4 linked regions of the Nothobranchius furzeri genome follow. The protein of the gene in region 1 interacts with the protein of each later gene in a pairwise test. Links are inferred from orthologs where the notes say so. Each region holds a gene or a part of one and is shown on either strand. Other genes may lie near its edges.

Evidence for each region.
Region 2: the proteins of creb3l1 (region 1) and tspo interact in binary tests that used the Homo sapiens proteins (3 or more experiments, as listed by UniProt). The two-hybrid records come from large-scale screens. The link is inferred for Nothobranchius furzeri from reciprocal best matches to the Homo sapiens genes CREB3L1 and TSPO.
Region 3: the proteins of creb3l1 (region 1) and tmem11 interact in binary tests that used the Homo sapiens proteins (3 or more experiments, as listed by UniProt). The two-hybrid records come from large-scale screens. The link is inferred for Nothobranchius furzeri from reciprocal best matches to the Homo sapiens genes CREB3L1 and TMEM11.
Region 4: the proteins of creb3l1 (region 1) and fam3c interact in binary tests that used the Homo sapiens proteins (3 or more experiments, as listed by UniProt). The two-hybrid records come from large-scale screens. The link is inferred for Nothobranchius furzeri from reciprocal best matches to the Homo sapiens genes CREB3L1 and FAM3C.

Annotation. Positions count from the first base shown.
Region 1 is NC_091754.1:48,088,349-48,092,513, forward strand, and holds the start of creb3l1 (cyclic AMP-responsive element-binding protein 3-like protein 1), read right to left. Parts: upstream 2,824-4,165; 5' UTR 2,619-2,823; coding exon 2,508-2,618; intron 1-2,507.
Region 2 is NC_091743.1:66,946,637-66,950,849, reverse strand, and holds tspo (translocator protein), read left to right. Parts: upstream 1-1,277; 5' UTR 1,278-1,477; intron 1,478-2,617; 5' UTR 2,618-2,620; coding exon 2,621-2,793; intron 2,794-2,869; coding exon 2,870-3,008; intron 3,009-3,114; coding exon 3,115-3,288; 3' UTR 3,289-3,972; downstream 3,973-4,213. UniProt on the Homo sapiens protein: Can bind protoporphyrin IX and may play a role in the transport of porphyrins and heme. Promotes the transport of cholesterol across mitochondrial membranes and may play a role in lipid metabolism, but its precise physiological role is controversial.
Region 3 is NC_091752.1:51,142,580-51,146,662, forward strand, and holds tmem11 (transmembrane protein 11, mitochondrial), read right to left. Parts: upstream 2,937-4,083; 5' UTR 2,924-2,936; coding exon 2,790-2,923; intron 1,044-2,789; coding exon 527-1,043; 3' UTR 373-526; downstream 1-372. UniProt on the Homo sapiens protein: Plays a role in mitochondrial morphogenesis.
Region 4 is NC_091741.1:44,500,841-44,505,216, forward strand, and holds the start of fam3c (protein FAM3C), read right to left. Parts: upstream 2,937-4,376; 5' UTR 2,795-2,936; intron 2,365-2,794; 5' UTR 2,321-2,364; coding exon 2,305-2,320; intron 2,220-2,304; coding exon 2,118-2,219; intron 1,520-2,117; coding exon 1,493-1,519; intron 256-1,492; coding exon 132-255; intron 1-131. Other genes in the region: sortilin, read right to left, coding at 4,245-4,259, 4,338-4,376. UniProt on the Homo sapiens protein: May be involved in retinal laminar formation. Promotes epithelial to mesenchymal transition.

The sequences.
Region 1 (4,165 bases):
ATGGATGGATGGATGGCTTTCTTGCAATTGTCTAAAAACGTCTACCAATAACACGTTTTGGACCAAACGCAACTATTGGACCATCCGGTTGTCGGTGTTACCGAACCGCCACACTTTCCTGGGTCCTCCACTCATCACACACTCACGTATTCAGCAGCAGAACACCACTGGTGTGAGAGGTTCTCTGCTCAATAACATCTGAGGAGAAAGAGCCGGCTGCTACCACTGAGCTTCAGGACAAACTATCGGAGTCCCAAAAAGAAAATCACCATTTGAAGTCACGGACAACAAAAGACGTTTGGACCTTGAAAACAGCGACTGGTGTTTAGCGCTATCTCGTTTCTTCTGGCTATGCGGGTGTTCGTTTACAGTTGTGGCGGATCCAGAGAAGATACCCGAGGGCGTGGGTGAGTGTACCGTGACCATGTTTGTGTTTAAAACCTAGCTTGTTTGCAGATTTGTTATAAAAGCTTTAAAGTAAAGAAAGGACCTAGGTGAACTGGAAAACCTGTAAACACCTATAATAATCTACAGTAAACGCACAGTTGAATCAACACAAACCACTATCACAGTCTTTGCATGATGGTCCTGTACAACTCTCCCAACACATAAAACGCTTAACAAATGAAAATAAAAGCTGTTAGCATGGCGGGACACAGGCTTGTGTCATTAGCTGAGATAAAACATCAATGTTCCACTTTTACAAAAAAAAAAAAAAAGTGAACAAAGGCAGCAGACGAGTTGATTTAGCCAATTAAAGGCAAGATTTTTGCATATCATGAATATGAATGAGTAACATCCTCAGACTAACCTCTAACCCCTGGTACAGAAGCTCGAGAGCGTTTATTCCACAGAGACGACCACAGCAAACAAGTGAATGAGAAATTTAAGGGGAAGTATTATAACTTATATTAAGTTATGGTTATATATGAAGTTCTTTACATAAAGTCTCTCTCATAAAGCGATTAGCAGTTTTATCGTTTACAGTTGGCTGGGTAACGTCCAGAATTAGCCATTTCAGGGTTCTGCCACCTTAATGTAAATAAGCTGTTGCTGGCCCCGCCCAACATTACCTGATTGGCTGCTGTGGGGTGAGCAATTCATATATAAGGGAGGGGCTTCGAGTAGAGCCACCACTCCTCCAGTGTAAACAGGTGAGGGGGATTCAACGCAAATGTTCTTTTGTGTGAAGTCACAATAAGGGTCATTACAAGGGTCTAGACAGCTAGACCGTCTACTTTCTTTGGCAAAAGACAGTCTAGCTTCTATGCTAGTTTACCCTTGCTGTGAAGTTGGCATTTTTAACTTCCTCTTTCTGGTGCTAGCCCCTAGCGGATGAGAGGGGAACTGCAATTTCTGTCACGTCTGAGTTGGCCGCCCTTGGTTTTACCTTTAGCAGCCATCTTGACTTGGAGTGACTCTAAAAGTTAGCCCAGTTGCTGATGATTACTTTCTTGGGAGTCTGACTCAAATTAGCCAAGAACAGGTTGCTAGCAAACAAAGACACTGGAGGAAAAATATCTTAGGAATCAGTCACTGGTTTTCAGGACCATCTTTCTGTTGCCTAACAGCATCTTTTGCACACATTTGTATTAAAACTTGGTTCATTCACTGAACTAAAGTGTGCCATACTGATCCATTCTTTCCCTGTTTCCTCAGTAGGACAGCCCAGCCTAGTGGACTCCCTATTTAGAGCAGACAGAGGAGTTTAAAGAGTTTAAACCACAAGCAGACTGCACGCCTGACTCACGGACTAGAATAGAAGTCAACCCAAAAAAAGATGGGTTAACACAATGTGGAAAAAGAAAAAGTGACGATTCCTGCTGCCGTTAACCTCTCAGTGTGTTTCCACTTTAAAAACTCAGACATGCAGACTCATTACTGATTATGAGGAGGTTAAATGCAATTAGTCACACTTCTCAGGGGCAGTCATAGGTGTGATTGTAGTGAAACAGTAACTTTTAATGAAAAGTTTCATGTGAAAAATGTGCTAATTATCAGTTGACTAGGAGACAGGACATCCATCTGTGGGGATCGGAGCCTGGGTTGATGCAAACTGCTGGGATCTGTGACTTTATTTCATTTCATAAAATCTCGTGCAGCATCTAAAATCAATGTGGTGAGTTATTTCATTGTGAAAGATGCCTTGCTAGGAGGCTGAGGCAATAAACCTGATCAAGTACCTGAATAATGCAACACCTGCTAGTCGAAACAAGTTAACCAGTAACCAGCCAGCATGTTTCCAGTTTCCTCTAGTAGTCACACACACACACGCACGCACGCACGCACGCACGCACACACACACACGCGCGCGCAATTCACACACACACACACACACACACACACACACACACACACACACACACACACACACGGTAAATGAGCCCCGGATGTGTGTCAGGATCTCATAAATCCACCACCCTCCCGAGGTCCGGCTGCGGGCGGAACAAACACCGCGGGGTGCGTTTGGGTTCCAGCAGGGAGACGCTAAAGAGACTTGAACTCACCACGTTCGTGAGGAAATCACCGTCGCTCAGCTCCTCCAGGTCCAACAGGTTGGTCCCTGCGTGGGGATAGAGTTTGTCCACCACAAAACTGTCTAGGAGAGACTCCATCATGATGGACAGTAGCTCCCTGGTCGCGCGACACTTCAAAATCAACTCATTAAAAAACGAGAAGGTTTGTTTTCAAGCGCTCCTCCTGGAAAAGTGAAGCGGAAGCGACGTAACGTCAGATTTCTTCTGAATTACACATCCTTCTCCACCCGGCTTGCTGTGGTGGAGCCGCTGATGTTCTTCTGCTCTCTCCTCCTCTTTCGCGAGTGCTGTCAGCCACGCGCCGATGAATATTCAACCAAACCCCGCCCACCCCGGTAAACACGCGCCACGCCCCCAGAATTATACGAAGTTTTTTTTATCACAACGAAATTAAATCCAAACGTTTTCCAAGAAAATATTTGAACAAGAACGCAAAAACACTTTGATATAATTTAGATTCATTGATAAACGTTTGATAACTGGAAAATAACTGGAAAATGTGAAACTTTTCACCTGTGTATTTTTACCACAGACATATCAGATAAGTTATTATAGTTTTTACTTAAATACTTTTTTCAAATGGCCATGTTTTGTTGGATTAGAATGAAAAAGATAATTGTTAGCAGCACCTGGAGTAGCTAAAGTCAGGGGCGCCTCCAGAAAATTTAGATGGAGTGGCCACCATCGACATATATACTGCAGACAGGGCCAAATAATTTTTTGGGGTGGCACACCACACTGGTCCTCTGGGAGAGGCGGTGATGTATTGCATTTCTCCTTTATTCATTTTTATTATTTGTTGAAAACAGTACGTATCCAAAACATTTAACAACAATTTTATAAATACTTACATTTCAGTTATTTAAAATGTTAGTTCAAATTTTATTTTAAAATTTCTTTTTTATTTTAATTCACCTGTTGCTGTGTTCACAAAAAACTATGGAGATAAAAAAAATGTAAACAGTGAGCAGCAGAAACATGTGTATTTTTTTATTCTGATTGTTTCTTTACTCATTAATTATATTATTTTTATTTTGTTTTTCAAATGTGTCTTGAATAAATAAGATCAATTTATGGTTTGAGTGAACACTAATATGATTTATTAACACTGGCTTTTTCTGGGAGGGGCAACAATTATCTAGTGGCCATGGCCACCCCTTGGGAGCGCCATTGGCTAAAATAATTAGCCCGTATCGTACCTGTTCTTCCTTAAAACACAAAAACGCTTTTTAAAACTCGTTAAAAGTAGTATTTCCAAACATAAACTCATTACTTAAAATTTTATCACACCAATTAGTCATTTTTAAATTTAATATGTCTCAATGAATAATCCAATAAACCAAAGATTATGTTTCAAGTCATTTAAAAAGTAACTAAAAGTTAATTATGCATATTTGCTTGCAGTTTGGATAAACAAGTGCTATTGATGTTTTTACATCAGGATCAGCTCTTATCACTAATTTTACTTCTACTTTCAATCATTATTATTATTTATATTATTTTAAATAAATATGATTGAAAGTACGTTATAAATAAAGTAGGTATGTTTTCTGCTCATCACAGTGACTCTTTATTCCTCGTCCTGCTTTGGTTGAATTTGTTATGTTTTTGTATGTAAATATGATTTA
Region 2 (4,213 bases), on another chromosome or scaffold:
CAATGAGATTCATTCTTCCTTACATTTACTTTTTTAAATACACGAATGTGCAAAAAAACTGAACCTTTTCCCGAGTTCCTCATGTTTTGCTCCAAGCAGTGTTTAACTTTTATACTAAAATAGAAGACTTTATTTATTTTTTCATTTGAGTTTATGAGTGAACTTTAACTTTGTACTTTTCTAAATCCAATTTTATTTGTCTTTTAAATTTACTTTTTTAATCTACCTTTATGTTTTTTCCTTGCACCTGGAAAGCACACTGAAATGTGTATGAAATGTGCTTTGTTAATAAAGCTGCCTTGCTTTTTAAGGGGTCATGATCATTTTTTCTTCAGGTTTTTTGAAAGTGATGCGGGCGTTGTACCGGATTGTCGTGGTGAAGAGAGAGCTGAGTCAGAAGGCAAAGCTCTCGATTTACCGGTCGATCGACGATCCTACCCTCAACTATGGTCATGAGCTTTGGGTAGTGACCGAAAGAACGAGATAGCGGTTACAAGCGGCCAAAATGAGTTTTCTCCGCAGAGTGGCTGGGCTCTCCGTTAGAGATAGGGTGAGAAGCACAGTCATCTGGGAGGGGCTCGGAGTAGATTCGCTGTTCCTCCACATCGAGAGGAGCCAGTTGAGGTGGCTCGGGCATCTGGTCAGAATGCCTCCTGGACACCTCCCTGGTGGTGGTTAAAAAATGTGTTAAGTAGTATTGCAAACTAATTATTTGCATTTTATCTTCAAGAAAACTTTAAACTGCCACATGCAGAACTGGATGTTAAGAGACAGATCTGCATCATGAAGTGCACTAGTTAAAACATTTCTTTACATTTCTATTGTTAGATTTGTCAAACTTGTGTTCTGACAAAAACTGTTTGAGGTGAAAAAGAGAGAGAAAGATGACCTATTGAGCCTACTTGTGGCTTGTGTTGTATTTGATCTTTAAAGTTAGCATATGAAAAAATCGAGACATATTTTAGCTTTAGTGGAAAACGGTGAAATTAACTCGTATTTACGTTTCAAACGACTTGCACGTGAGAGGCGGGAACTATCTTGAGCTTTGTGTAACCTTTGCTTTATGTCACGTTTCCGGTTGTTGCGAAATTACAAGGAAATTTCAAATGTTTCGACCGAGCAGCAAGCAGTTAGATGGCTAGTTGTATTGTTTGACTGTCGGACTGCTGCAGCGTGTTAATACCCAAAAGTGAGTGAATAATACTCTCAATTCTAACCTCCAAACGCCAGTCAAATTGTCTCTGCGTGACCAATCGATGGTTAGCACTCAGTGACGTCACGTAGTTTGGTTCTGGTTCAGACTGGGAGTGTCGGAGGAATGACCACTCCGATAAGACTGCCCTGCCCTTTAAAAAACTTATATCACCTCATTATCAGCATGCCAGAGAACCACTAAGTGTGTGAAGCTTTCGTTTCTTGAACTAAAGGTTTTAACGACTTTACTTGCGCTACGTGACGCAGACAGCTGAAAGGAAAGGTAAGAATGAAGCTACGTCCACTTGACCTTAGGCACACGCGAACCGAAAGTGTTAAGCTAACCCTTTTTCCGCAAAAAATTGATCTAACTCTTTTCTGTGTAATAAACTACTTTCTTGCGTTTAGTTTCCTCCAATGGCAATACATTTACACGTTAGCTAGCTGTTTTTCGTTCTGCCACAACAAGAACCTGTGACAAAATACCGAACTTTGCGTGGAGAGTTTAAAGTTCCTACAGTTATTTTGCATGTTAACGCCTCTTGGAATACAAACATGTTTACCGTGAAATAAACTCTTAGCAAAATGCGCACGTCTTTTAAATTCATGTTTGCACGTAGTGAGTCTAATAAACAATAGGAATACCTTTTTACCTTAAATAGATATTCTTGATTTTTACGACACAACCTGCAGCCCCGAAATGGATTATGGATTAAAGTAACATTTCATTGTTTAGTTCTTTTCTAATGTAGTTGAAGATTTGTTTTTACCTTTTTTTAGCTGCTAAGTTTCGGCTAACGCTGTAGCACTCGGAGCACATTAAATTAACATCCCTTTAAATGTTATTTGATAAACCAAAAAGATGAATAGGGCGCAGTCCTCAGATTATTTAATCTCGTCAGCAATCACGAGTTTCAAAATAAAAGCATACATAGCTCAAGACTCCTAAATTCAGACATTAAACTCATAAATGTTTAACACAATCTGCCCCAAGATTACCTAATGTATTACTTCATTTTTATTTTTGATATATTTCTGATTCAAAATTGTGTTTGAGAAACTTGGTAAACAATGAAGTAGCATTTTTGCTTTATATCTTCATTTTTTGCCACCAAAAAGGAAACATTTACACTAAAACAGAATTTAAAATGTTCAGAAATTCTCATGTATAATTTTGGGCAACACAAATGCTTTTTTTATCAACAGAGAATTGCTAAAATAAATATTAAAATTTTCAATTAGAAATAGCTTATTTACCTACACACATTTCTCAGAAAAAAAACCCGTTTTATAATGCATTATCTTGGATCTTTTTTTTAATGTCTGCATCTGTAACTCATCTGACAATGTTATTCACCAAAGTTCTTCATGTACAGAGAGATGAGGTTTAGTAGAATGATTAACCAACCTGCTCTCATCTCAGACCATGTGGCTGCCTCTGATTGGGATGACCGCCCTCCCACACATTGGAGGAATCTATGGGGGTTTCATTACACGCAAACAGGTGAAGACGTGGTACACCACCCTGAACAAACCCTCGTGGCGCCCCCCAAACGCAGCCTTTCCGGTGGTGTGGACATGTCTGTACACAGGGATGGGGTAAGAGCCACACGGACAGACTCCGACCACCTTTGTTCCTTAAGCTAATGGATTATTTTTGGACTCTGTCTTCCAGTTATGGTTCCTACCTGATCTGGAAAGAACTTGGAGGTTTCACTGAGGATGCACTGGTTCCACTGGGGCTGTATGGGCTGCAGTTGGCTCTGAACTGGGCATGGACTCCTATTTTCTTTGGAGCGCACAAGATAAAATGGGCAAGTTGAACCTTTTACATTTGATTAAGGATTGAGAAATGCAAAAAAAAAAAAGTTACTTTTGAGTGTTAATTTCCATTAGATGCCCTTTTTCTATTAAATGTAGGCAATGGTCGAGATTGTGTTCCTGACTGGGACTGTTGGAGCCACCATGGTGTCTTGGTATTCTATCAGCCGCACCGCCACTCTGCTCCTGGCCCCTTATCTGTCCTGGCTCTGCCTCGCCACCACCCTCAACTACTGCATATGGAGGGACAACCCTGAGACAAAAGAAGAGTAGTGGACATATCTGTGCTTCAGCTATTAAAACTCTGATTACAGTCAATATTCTGTTTATAAATCCTCGCTCAGAAGCTTTCCTATTTCTAGATTCAGCTGATATCAAAAGATCGGACCTATGATTGTTTGTGTTTTTGTTAGCTAATGCGACACAAGCGACTCAGAAATGACTTGTTTCTGTTGTTTTATTTTTTTTATTGTTAAAGCTAAAGGTGCAATAGGAGGTGGCTTTCTTGCTTTTCGAACAGCTACTTCTTTTGAAAACGTAGAAATCTAAGATCCAACCCTGGTCAGAGCAGCAGTTTGATGTAAGGAATATGAGCTGGTCCTTAAACATAGGACGTTCACAATGATTGACAAAAGATTTGATTTAGTGGTTGGCATCAGTATGTGAAGAGCACTTCAAGCAATATCAATTCAAATTCAAAAATACTTTATTAATCCCAGAGGGAAATTGATATAGCAAAAAACTCCAGAAAAAATCTCCTACCCCACCTTTAGCTACAAATTCACACATTAAATTTGCATAATTAACAGATTAGCGAATAATCATGTTTTGGGCGACATGTTGAAGTGAACATTCTTTTGTATTTGAGCTTTTTTAATGAAAAATCTCCCAGATGTGAATTTATTGTTCTTTTAATTATTATTCACATTTTTCACATTAAAAAAATTGACCACAAAACCTGAAAACATTTATTCTTGATAGGACTGACAGATCTATAATTTAATTCCTGTTTCACTTTTTAAAAAAATCTAGATTTATCAGATGTTTCAGTCATGAAGCAAAGTAATTAAATGTAGCAACTCAAATTTGAGTAAATATCTTAAACATGCCTTTGATCCTAATCTAGTGCAGAATTTTTGGAGGGCAACAACGAAACAACCCACCAGCCACCAGTAGTGCACAGGTCCTCCACCAGAGG
Region 3 (4,083 bases), on another chromosome or scaffold:
TTTTCCAGACATCAAATAGAATCCATTTATTTTGAAGAAAAAATAAAATAAAATACAGAAAAGTTTGTTTGAAATATCCTAATATTTAATCAAACATTAATGTACTTGATCAGCAAAAAACGGGTACAGCAAAACTACAAGGGAAAGGGGAAAGAGCATTGTACAACAAATGTGTCTGTTCCATTTTTAATCCAAAACCATTCCTTTCAGAGGAACTGAGGTCATGTCCTTTTGCACAAGCTTGTGTGACAGAGAAGCGGGTGGAGGGGGTAAGGGGGCTGGCGCGAAAGTACTATGGCAATAGGTGTGCTGCTGTCACATAGAAGTACATGGAAAAAAATCCCTTCTAGTTTTAGCTATATCCCTCTGATCAATGTTCCAAGTGGAAGCACCCACCCTCTGTAGAGCTAACTGCTGAGCCTGAACGGGACTTCCACTTTTCTAACATCCGGGGGTGAGTATGTTGTTTTGTTAATTTTTTTTTTTTGCTTTTTTTTTTGATGGTTCTTAAATCTTCAGAGTGCACTCATACCACATAGAGTTCATAGATCTTCTTGGCGCAATACGCCAGAGCAGCCAGTGCTATCGTATTATGGAGTCTCTTTCTGTGGACGTCATCCCTGCGTACCAAAACCACGGGTGTTGAGGAGGTCAGTGTATGCAGGGGCAGCCGTGAGAGTTTTTGGCTGTTGTATTCCACTTGGTACTTGCAGCAGGGATCAAACTGCCATGAAATCCCATAGAGCGCAGCACAGGCCACACTGAGGGCACCAGCTGGCAATGCTACATAGCGCGAGTATTCTGCAGGCAGCGAAAGTGGCGTCAGGAGGCATGCAGCGCCTGACAACACAGCCGTCTTGTGCAGGCAGTTCCCCACCGTAATCCAGCGGGCCGTCTCATCCCCGATCCGTGTGGGCTCAATAACAATATATTTATACTGGGCCTCCAGTGCCTGCTCCAGCTCGTACTCAAACTGGTCCTGCGCATTCTCCCCATTGTAGATCTCATGTACAATGTAGCAGTCTGACGCAGCCATCACTGCCCTGCACACAATCAAATACACAGGCTGGTAATGAAAAGACAACAAGACAGGAAATTAATAAGAAAACTCAATATTATTTTTGTAACCAACTGCTTTGTTTTAACCACAATACCATCATTCTGTGGCTGTTGCTTTTTATTAAAATACCTATGACCCGTTTAGTTTTACTTTCTTATTAAAATGTAAACATTGAGGCATAATGAAGGTTTTTACTTGATTATAAATTAAGTTTATTCCCATTCTTGGGAGATATTTTTGAACAGTTTGTGTGCTGTCTTTGTAAATAATAAAATAAGTGTTTACTAACCTGTTATAAATAAATATGAACTTGGCAAACTTAACTTATTTCCTGTCTGTGGTTTGACTAAAGTTGAGCAAATATCTCTCACTATTGAACGGAGAAATATTAATAAATAGCTCATATCCACTTCTACTTTTAATCTATTTTAACCCGAATTTTGAGAAAGGTTCAATGTCTTGCGGCTGCTTGCACGAAAAAAGAAGAAAAAAAGTGTGCGTCACAATCCCACCCAAACTGATAAGACAGGAAACCCACACTTATTTGTGCTGTTTAAATGTTCTTTAAAGAAGCAAAACATTTTTAGGGTTCTTATATATTTGCCCAAACAAATTCAAGCACTTTAAGTCCTTTCCCTAAAGTTTTTCAGGACTTTAAACATCTTACATTAGGGACGATTAATGAGCAGCAGTACATATATGATCAGTTATTGAACCATTTCTCTTATGTAAATATTATCCTATAACCATTTTCAGGCACAGCTTGAATGATTTTGAAACTAATTACTACATTATTTACTTGAAAATACCACATTAAAATCAGGCATTCAAGGATTTTAAGCAGTAAGAACAATTGCTTTCATAGTAGTTTCCATAAATTCGTTAATTAATATTTAAAGTGCCATAAAGCTACACACGTTCCCCTCAAATAAACAATAATATTTAGTATCAAAATTTGTTGGTGAAGAGAAGAAATTCAGTTAAATAACTTCACACGCTGCCATCACACATTCACACAAAGTTACCAGGTTGGTTGTTTATTGACAAGTTTGGTCCCATTTTCAAACCTGTTTGTTTCTTCACCTTATGTTACAACCATAGACATAAGATAGGTAAAACGCGAGAGGCTGATGATGGTCTACACTGAGGTCCTCCAGTGAGCGCTGCGTTAAGGACAAACAATCCCAACTTCCAATGACAGCGTGCTGATGGTAAAATACAGAGTGAAGGATAATCAAATACCAGACATAATAATTTCAATGTATTTTAGTCTGGGACAAGTGTACCAGAGCGGATGGGAACAACATATTCTGAAGTTGGAGGACTGACTGACCAACGAACTTCAGGACCATTTTTACTTTCAGAGTAGCTCGACTTAAAACGGCGCACAGCCGCAGCAGAGACTGATTTGGGCATTTTATGAACCCCGCAATGTCACAGAAGTGTCGGTACCAAAGCACCGTCCATTGCAGCTTCTTCCACCGTTATTAAGTCTGACTGAAACATTGAAAACAACCCATGACTAGATAAGTTTGTTCCCTGCTAACAACGGAAGCTAGCCGCCAGCTAATGTTAGCTAACCATGGAGTAAAATAACGCCTTTTTTATGTTGGCACTGGAGTTTGAATCATAAATTAGATGCATGTTCGAGAACAGGATGTGACATCGACTAAACTTTGTCAGTTATGAAAATAATTTCGCTTTATGGCAAAAAAGCAGAGTAACTGACCTCTCCCTGCTTACTGGGACACCGCGCCTCCTTCCCAGCGACGCCATGTTGGAAAAAACAACTGTGATTTCGGTTGACGTAGCCTCAGCGCAAAGAACCCTGGGTATTGTTGTGTGCAAGTCCGATCTACGCATCTACAAGGCTCGTTTTCAGACCACTATTCCCATAATGCAACGAGGGCAGCGTATCTGTAGTACGTATTTTGTTACAGAACACAGAAGTTTGAGGTCCTTTAATTAACCTAAAACTAAAAAAGTATCAAATATTGATTATATGCAACACGATTGAACTACAAATATATTTTAAAAAATCCAAGCTCCTTAACAGCTCCATTTCGGAAGCCAATTCATTAGGCTTTGATGCGCATGCTAACGTTGGTTATGTATTGTAACCCAGGCGCGTTGCAAGCTTTTCAAAAGTGTGGGGGATGTTTTCTGTGCCTGAAATAATTTCATGTTATTCATCTTGTTAGTTTAATTTCCATAATAGTTGAACTTTAGACGTGTCACGTATGTCTCCGTTTTAAACATGTTTAAACTGTTCAGAATACAAATCCGGGCTCTGTCTCTTAGATTGGTGTAACTAAAGTTTGTACTGAATGAAACTTTACATTAAACAGGGGCATGTCCAGGGAGTGGCCTGGGGTAGCACATGCGACCCTTGGAATCTGAATGGCCACCCCAGGTGCCAACACACTAATTTACCTTTAAATAGGATTTTTGTTGTCCACAAAAGGCTTGGGGGGGGGGGGGGGGGGGGGACCATAACCTTTGGTGCCACCCATGCACAAAGTTGTGCCTCACCTGGGCCACCCCATTTTACAGGATCTGGACACGCGACTGACATTAAACCATGTTGAAAAGAAAAGGATCCAATTAAATTGTTTCCCCCTCATTTACAGCCAGGAAGTACAGCGCAGTGCGCGTGGCTCTGGGGTTAATCAAGTTTAGTTGTTTCTCTTTGCAACAATCTTCACAGGAAGGTAAACAGTTAAATGGCAGGTTACAAATATTTCCATTTGACTGTTTATTTTGATGGATAAACTCAAGGATGTTAGTTGTTTTGAAAGAATTACCCCGACGCACACTGATGCGCATGGATGAGCTGATATTTTAATCGTTACGCACATCACAGCGGTAACTTGATTCCCATCAGAGCTTTATACTGGACACTGTGTTCAGCGAGGCTCGGAGCGCCCGCGGTGGACAGTGGGCTGAAGATCTGTAGAGGGGTTCGCAGCGCAGTGCAGAACCACGGTGCATGCGATAAGATTTCCTCCCACTGAAGCGGTCTG
Region 4 (4,376 bases), on another chromosome or scaffold:
TATGGCTAGGTTTGTGGCACTGCAGCAGGAAATGTTTTCCATGATCCAGTCAATAAAAAAGCATCAACACCAATACTAAAAACCTGTTCAAATAGGTTTTTCTAGAAGGCTGCAAGTAAAATGTCACATACAGTTTGTCTTCCAGGCACATCCTAGGCCCGACCACGCTGGCGGCGCCACTCGTAACTTTGAAGGCAAAATGTCCAGCGGGACACGCCTTGGACAGCCCGCATTTATGAATGGCCGGCTTTGTTGCTGTAAACACAGAAAAAAAAAAACCTCTATTAACATATCAAAGCATAACGTCAAAAACACAGAATACCGTAAATCCTCTAATATTGGCCTGTATTCAATTAACGGTCGGGTATCACATTTTGGCCGGTGTCGGAGTCGGCGGAGGTGAATAACGGCCGTTTTTTTTTTATTGTGGCCAGATGGGATGTGGTAACAAGCAAGTACCACTGGGGGGGCGGTTGTGTCATCCGTCTCACTTTTGATTTGCCAGTGATAGACCGTGAGGGTAACTTTAACCATGCAGGTGCGGAGCCGAAGAGGAACTGAATTTGAGGGTTTTATTTTATTTTTTACTACAACCCAAACGAGACGAAACGATTCAACTTTGAAGCGGCAAGGTTGCCTTTTCTAATACCGGTATTTAATAACGTTTAAAATGCAGTACAGGTATGTTTTCTACTGTTTTGTTACAATACAGTATTTCCCTACTGTAATTTAGCCTTGTTAATGTTTTATATGCAAACCGTACCACATTATGGTAACTGCACATTTTCAATAAATGAACCTAGTATTTTATAGGTTCAAATACACACCCCGTTTTTATTCATTCTACTGGTATTCATTTTGCTCAAATAGAAATTGAGTCCTACCTCCAATTCTGGCCCTCCTTCCAATAAAGGCCTGGAGCTTGATGAGCTTGAGTAAATTACTGTATTAGAAGATTTACAATATCACATGCCTGTCCGTGTTTTAACTTAGTAATGTCTACCGGGGCGACGGTGGCACAGGAGTTAAGTGCTCGCCCCATAATTGGAAGGTTGCAGGTTCCGAGCCCCGCTCAGTCTGTCGCTGTCGTTGTGTCCTTGGGCAAGACACTTAACCCACGTTGCCTGCTGGTGGTGGTCGGAGGGAACGGTGGCACCAGTGCTCAGCAGCCTCGCCTCTGTTAGTGCGCCCCAGGACACCTGCCGCTACATTGTAGCTCATCCCCACCAGTGTGTGAATGTGTGTGTGAATGGGTGAATGACTGTTGTAAAGTGCCTTGAGGGGCTCCAGGACTCTAGAAGGTGCTATATCAAGTACAGGCCATTTACCATATTTAAAAGCATTCTTACGACAGCACAACATAATAAACAAATCATTACCCTTTTGTGTCGACTGGTAAGGAAAAACCAAAAGAAAGGAGTAGAAATACTTTAAAGTAAGCAGGTAGAGGAGGAAAAAAGTGAAAAGACAGGGGAATGTGAGGGATACTTACGTCCTGTAACCACCGGCAAAGATTTAGCTGAAAATGGGGGGAAAAAATGTATTACAAACGTAGGAAAATCTTTTAAATCAGCCACAGCTCTGAGTTCAGTGACAGACGAAATAACGCTGGCTGCATTTTTCACTGTCAAGCACAAGAACCTTTTCATGAGATGAAATGTTCTGAGTGAATTAAGGGATTTCACGCTCTGACAAACCCGATGACGTGAAAAAGCCTTTAGTGACACGCTTATTTTTTTTTTTTAAAAAAAAAAGGTGCGCTAGAAAAGGCTAAATATTTGAAATATGCACCCCATTGTGCCCTGAAGAGAATAACCAAGAACCAGTAGGTTCTGGTGTCCAGTTCCAAGAAATGTGTTCACTAAAAATTCACCCATTTAGTTAAAAGAACAAGAATAAATGAAGGACTTTATGAATAATTTTAAAAATAAGTCAACCAAGCCAGGCTCTTGAGTAAATAGCATCTCTCTAAACACAATTATACAGAGGCAATGAACAGCATGAGTGACACAAAAGATAAGAGCTATCACGAGCCTGTTGGGACGATTGCCTCACTTTTACCATCCCACTTCCGTGTGCTGCCTTTAGTAATGACTAACACCTTGTAGGCTACTCACCCATGCTGCCAATTTTAAAATCCACGTTGATCTCCAGAAGCTGAAAAGCCATAAAGACGGCTAGCAGGAACACTAATATGAGCGCAGCTAATTTCAAAACACCTGTAAAAAAAAAACAGCCCAGTTATAACAAAGATTTGAGTTGACCAGCTGTGAATGAATAAACAACATGAAGACATGCTCCTACCCCCGGCTCTGACCATCTTGGGAAGCCTCGGGCCACTTCTCCTCGCAGCTAGTCAGCCACCTTCAACAGCAGAACATGAACACTTCAGTCTTGTTTCTAACTGATTTTCACACCTGACGCAAATCTACGCTAATGAACAAGGAAGCGCTACTATTTGGGGAATGTTAGCATTAGCTTAACTACAACATAAAGGTAAATTTCCCCAAATATGCCCAACTTTATGAATTCTAAAACACTTACTTTTTAAAATAAGACCATTTAAAAGGTCAGGAGTGAGTGGCGACAACGTGAAACACCAAAGTTAGACTTTTAAACGGCTAAAGCTAGCACAAGTGTAGCATCTCTCTAGTTAGTGACTTGGCGAGTCGTAAACTAGATACAAAGTTTGTGTCAAATTACTGCTGTTAACCCGTGCTTGAACTGTAATAGTAACACCGTAACAGCAAAATGTGAATATGAGCTTTTAGGCGCTGTTTTGAAGGCTTTTTACCTGCTCGGTAACCACAGAGACTACAGATCCCCCGGTGGAAGCGTTAACCTGAGCTTTTCCGGTCTTGACGGCTCAGTTTCAGAGATGTCAAATAACGACTTATGGTTCACTACGTATGGAAATAAAAGGAGGGTGGCGGAACAGAATCCGGAACAAAACGAGGTTAGGTGTTGGAGTCATGCAAATCAACACGCACCATATAATTACAAATATATTTAAAGAATACAAGTTTATCTGTTACAAATTCCGGTCTATTATAACAACACAAATTAAATAACGAACGGCGGGGGAAAGCGTTAGTGAGGCAATTTCCTTGTTTTGTGAAACCTTGAACAAATTTTAAAAAATGGGTTGAATACTAACTATATAGCAACTACAAAAAAATGGTTTAACTTTTTTAGAGCAAAAACTGTAGGACAAATAAAACACACACACGCACACACACACAAATTACATTTTTGTATTTATTTGACACAGTTTGAAACACCAAATATACAGATAATAAATAAATGAACAAATAACGGCAAACGTTGTTTCATCTGGTCATTTCAGGAAAGGTTCCTGAATGTCAACGATAATATTATTAGACTTTTGACAAATGAAAATTTTATTATTAAAACCCCTCACGGAAACGTAAATTTTTTTAATGGCTAGGCAAAAGTGTTCGTTTCCACAAAAAAACAAATAAATATGCGAATTCGAAAATAAATATATATCGATGACAAAATAATTACATTAAAAAAATCATATTGCTATAAGTGGCCCATGGAGCAGACATCTAACTTCATCTCGCTGGAAGATTTTGTGCGCGTGAGTCATCTCTTATAGAAAATCTCTGTTCACGTAGACGCAGCCCTTCTTCTTCTGGTTGAGACCATGTACAGTCTATGGTTGAGACAGATGAGACGCGTTGCGACTGCCCTCTTGCGGAGAACAAGACACTGCTCAGGGAATAAACTGGATGGATCTATTGACTCAAATGTATTCTGTCATGTATATTAAGACGATACTATCTATAATGATAATTATGCAAATTAATTATTAAATAGAAATTTAAAAAATATGGCTTTGTAAATGAACATACTTTACTGTTTATAGTTCTTTTTTTTCCAATGCTAAATACACACCAGACTTGACTAAAAATGCTTATTCATATTTTTGGGCTACTACTCTAAACAGCAACAAATCAGTCAGATGATTTAAAAGAATTTTGTACAGGATTATTTCAGGTTTTCTTAAAAAAGAAAGAAACATACCTGGTGCAAAACAATCAATACAAATAAATAACATTAAAAATGCCGTACAAGTCACAACAGAAGTCAAGGCAAACTGAGAAAGAAGGGAAAAAAAGAAAAAAAAAGGCTGAGTTTAATAAATTAGCAGTAGTTATTTTTACATTCTTTACATTCATATTCACAGAAGTCTCTATTTTTGTGCCGTCGTCTCTTTGTCAGTGAAGAAGATCCTGGGGAAAAAAATCATGTAAAAATAAATCCACAAAATAAAGAGCAGAAGTCCTAAGTTGGTCATAAATGGCTCTTACATCATCTGAATCTGGTTGGCAGGCTGTTCCATTACTGCT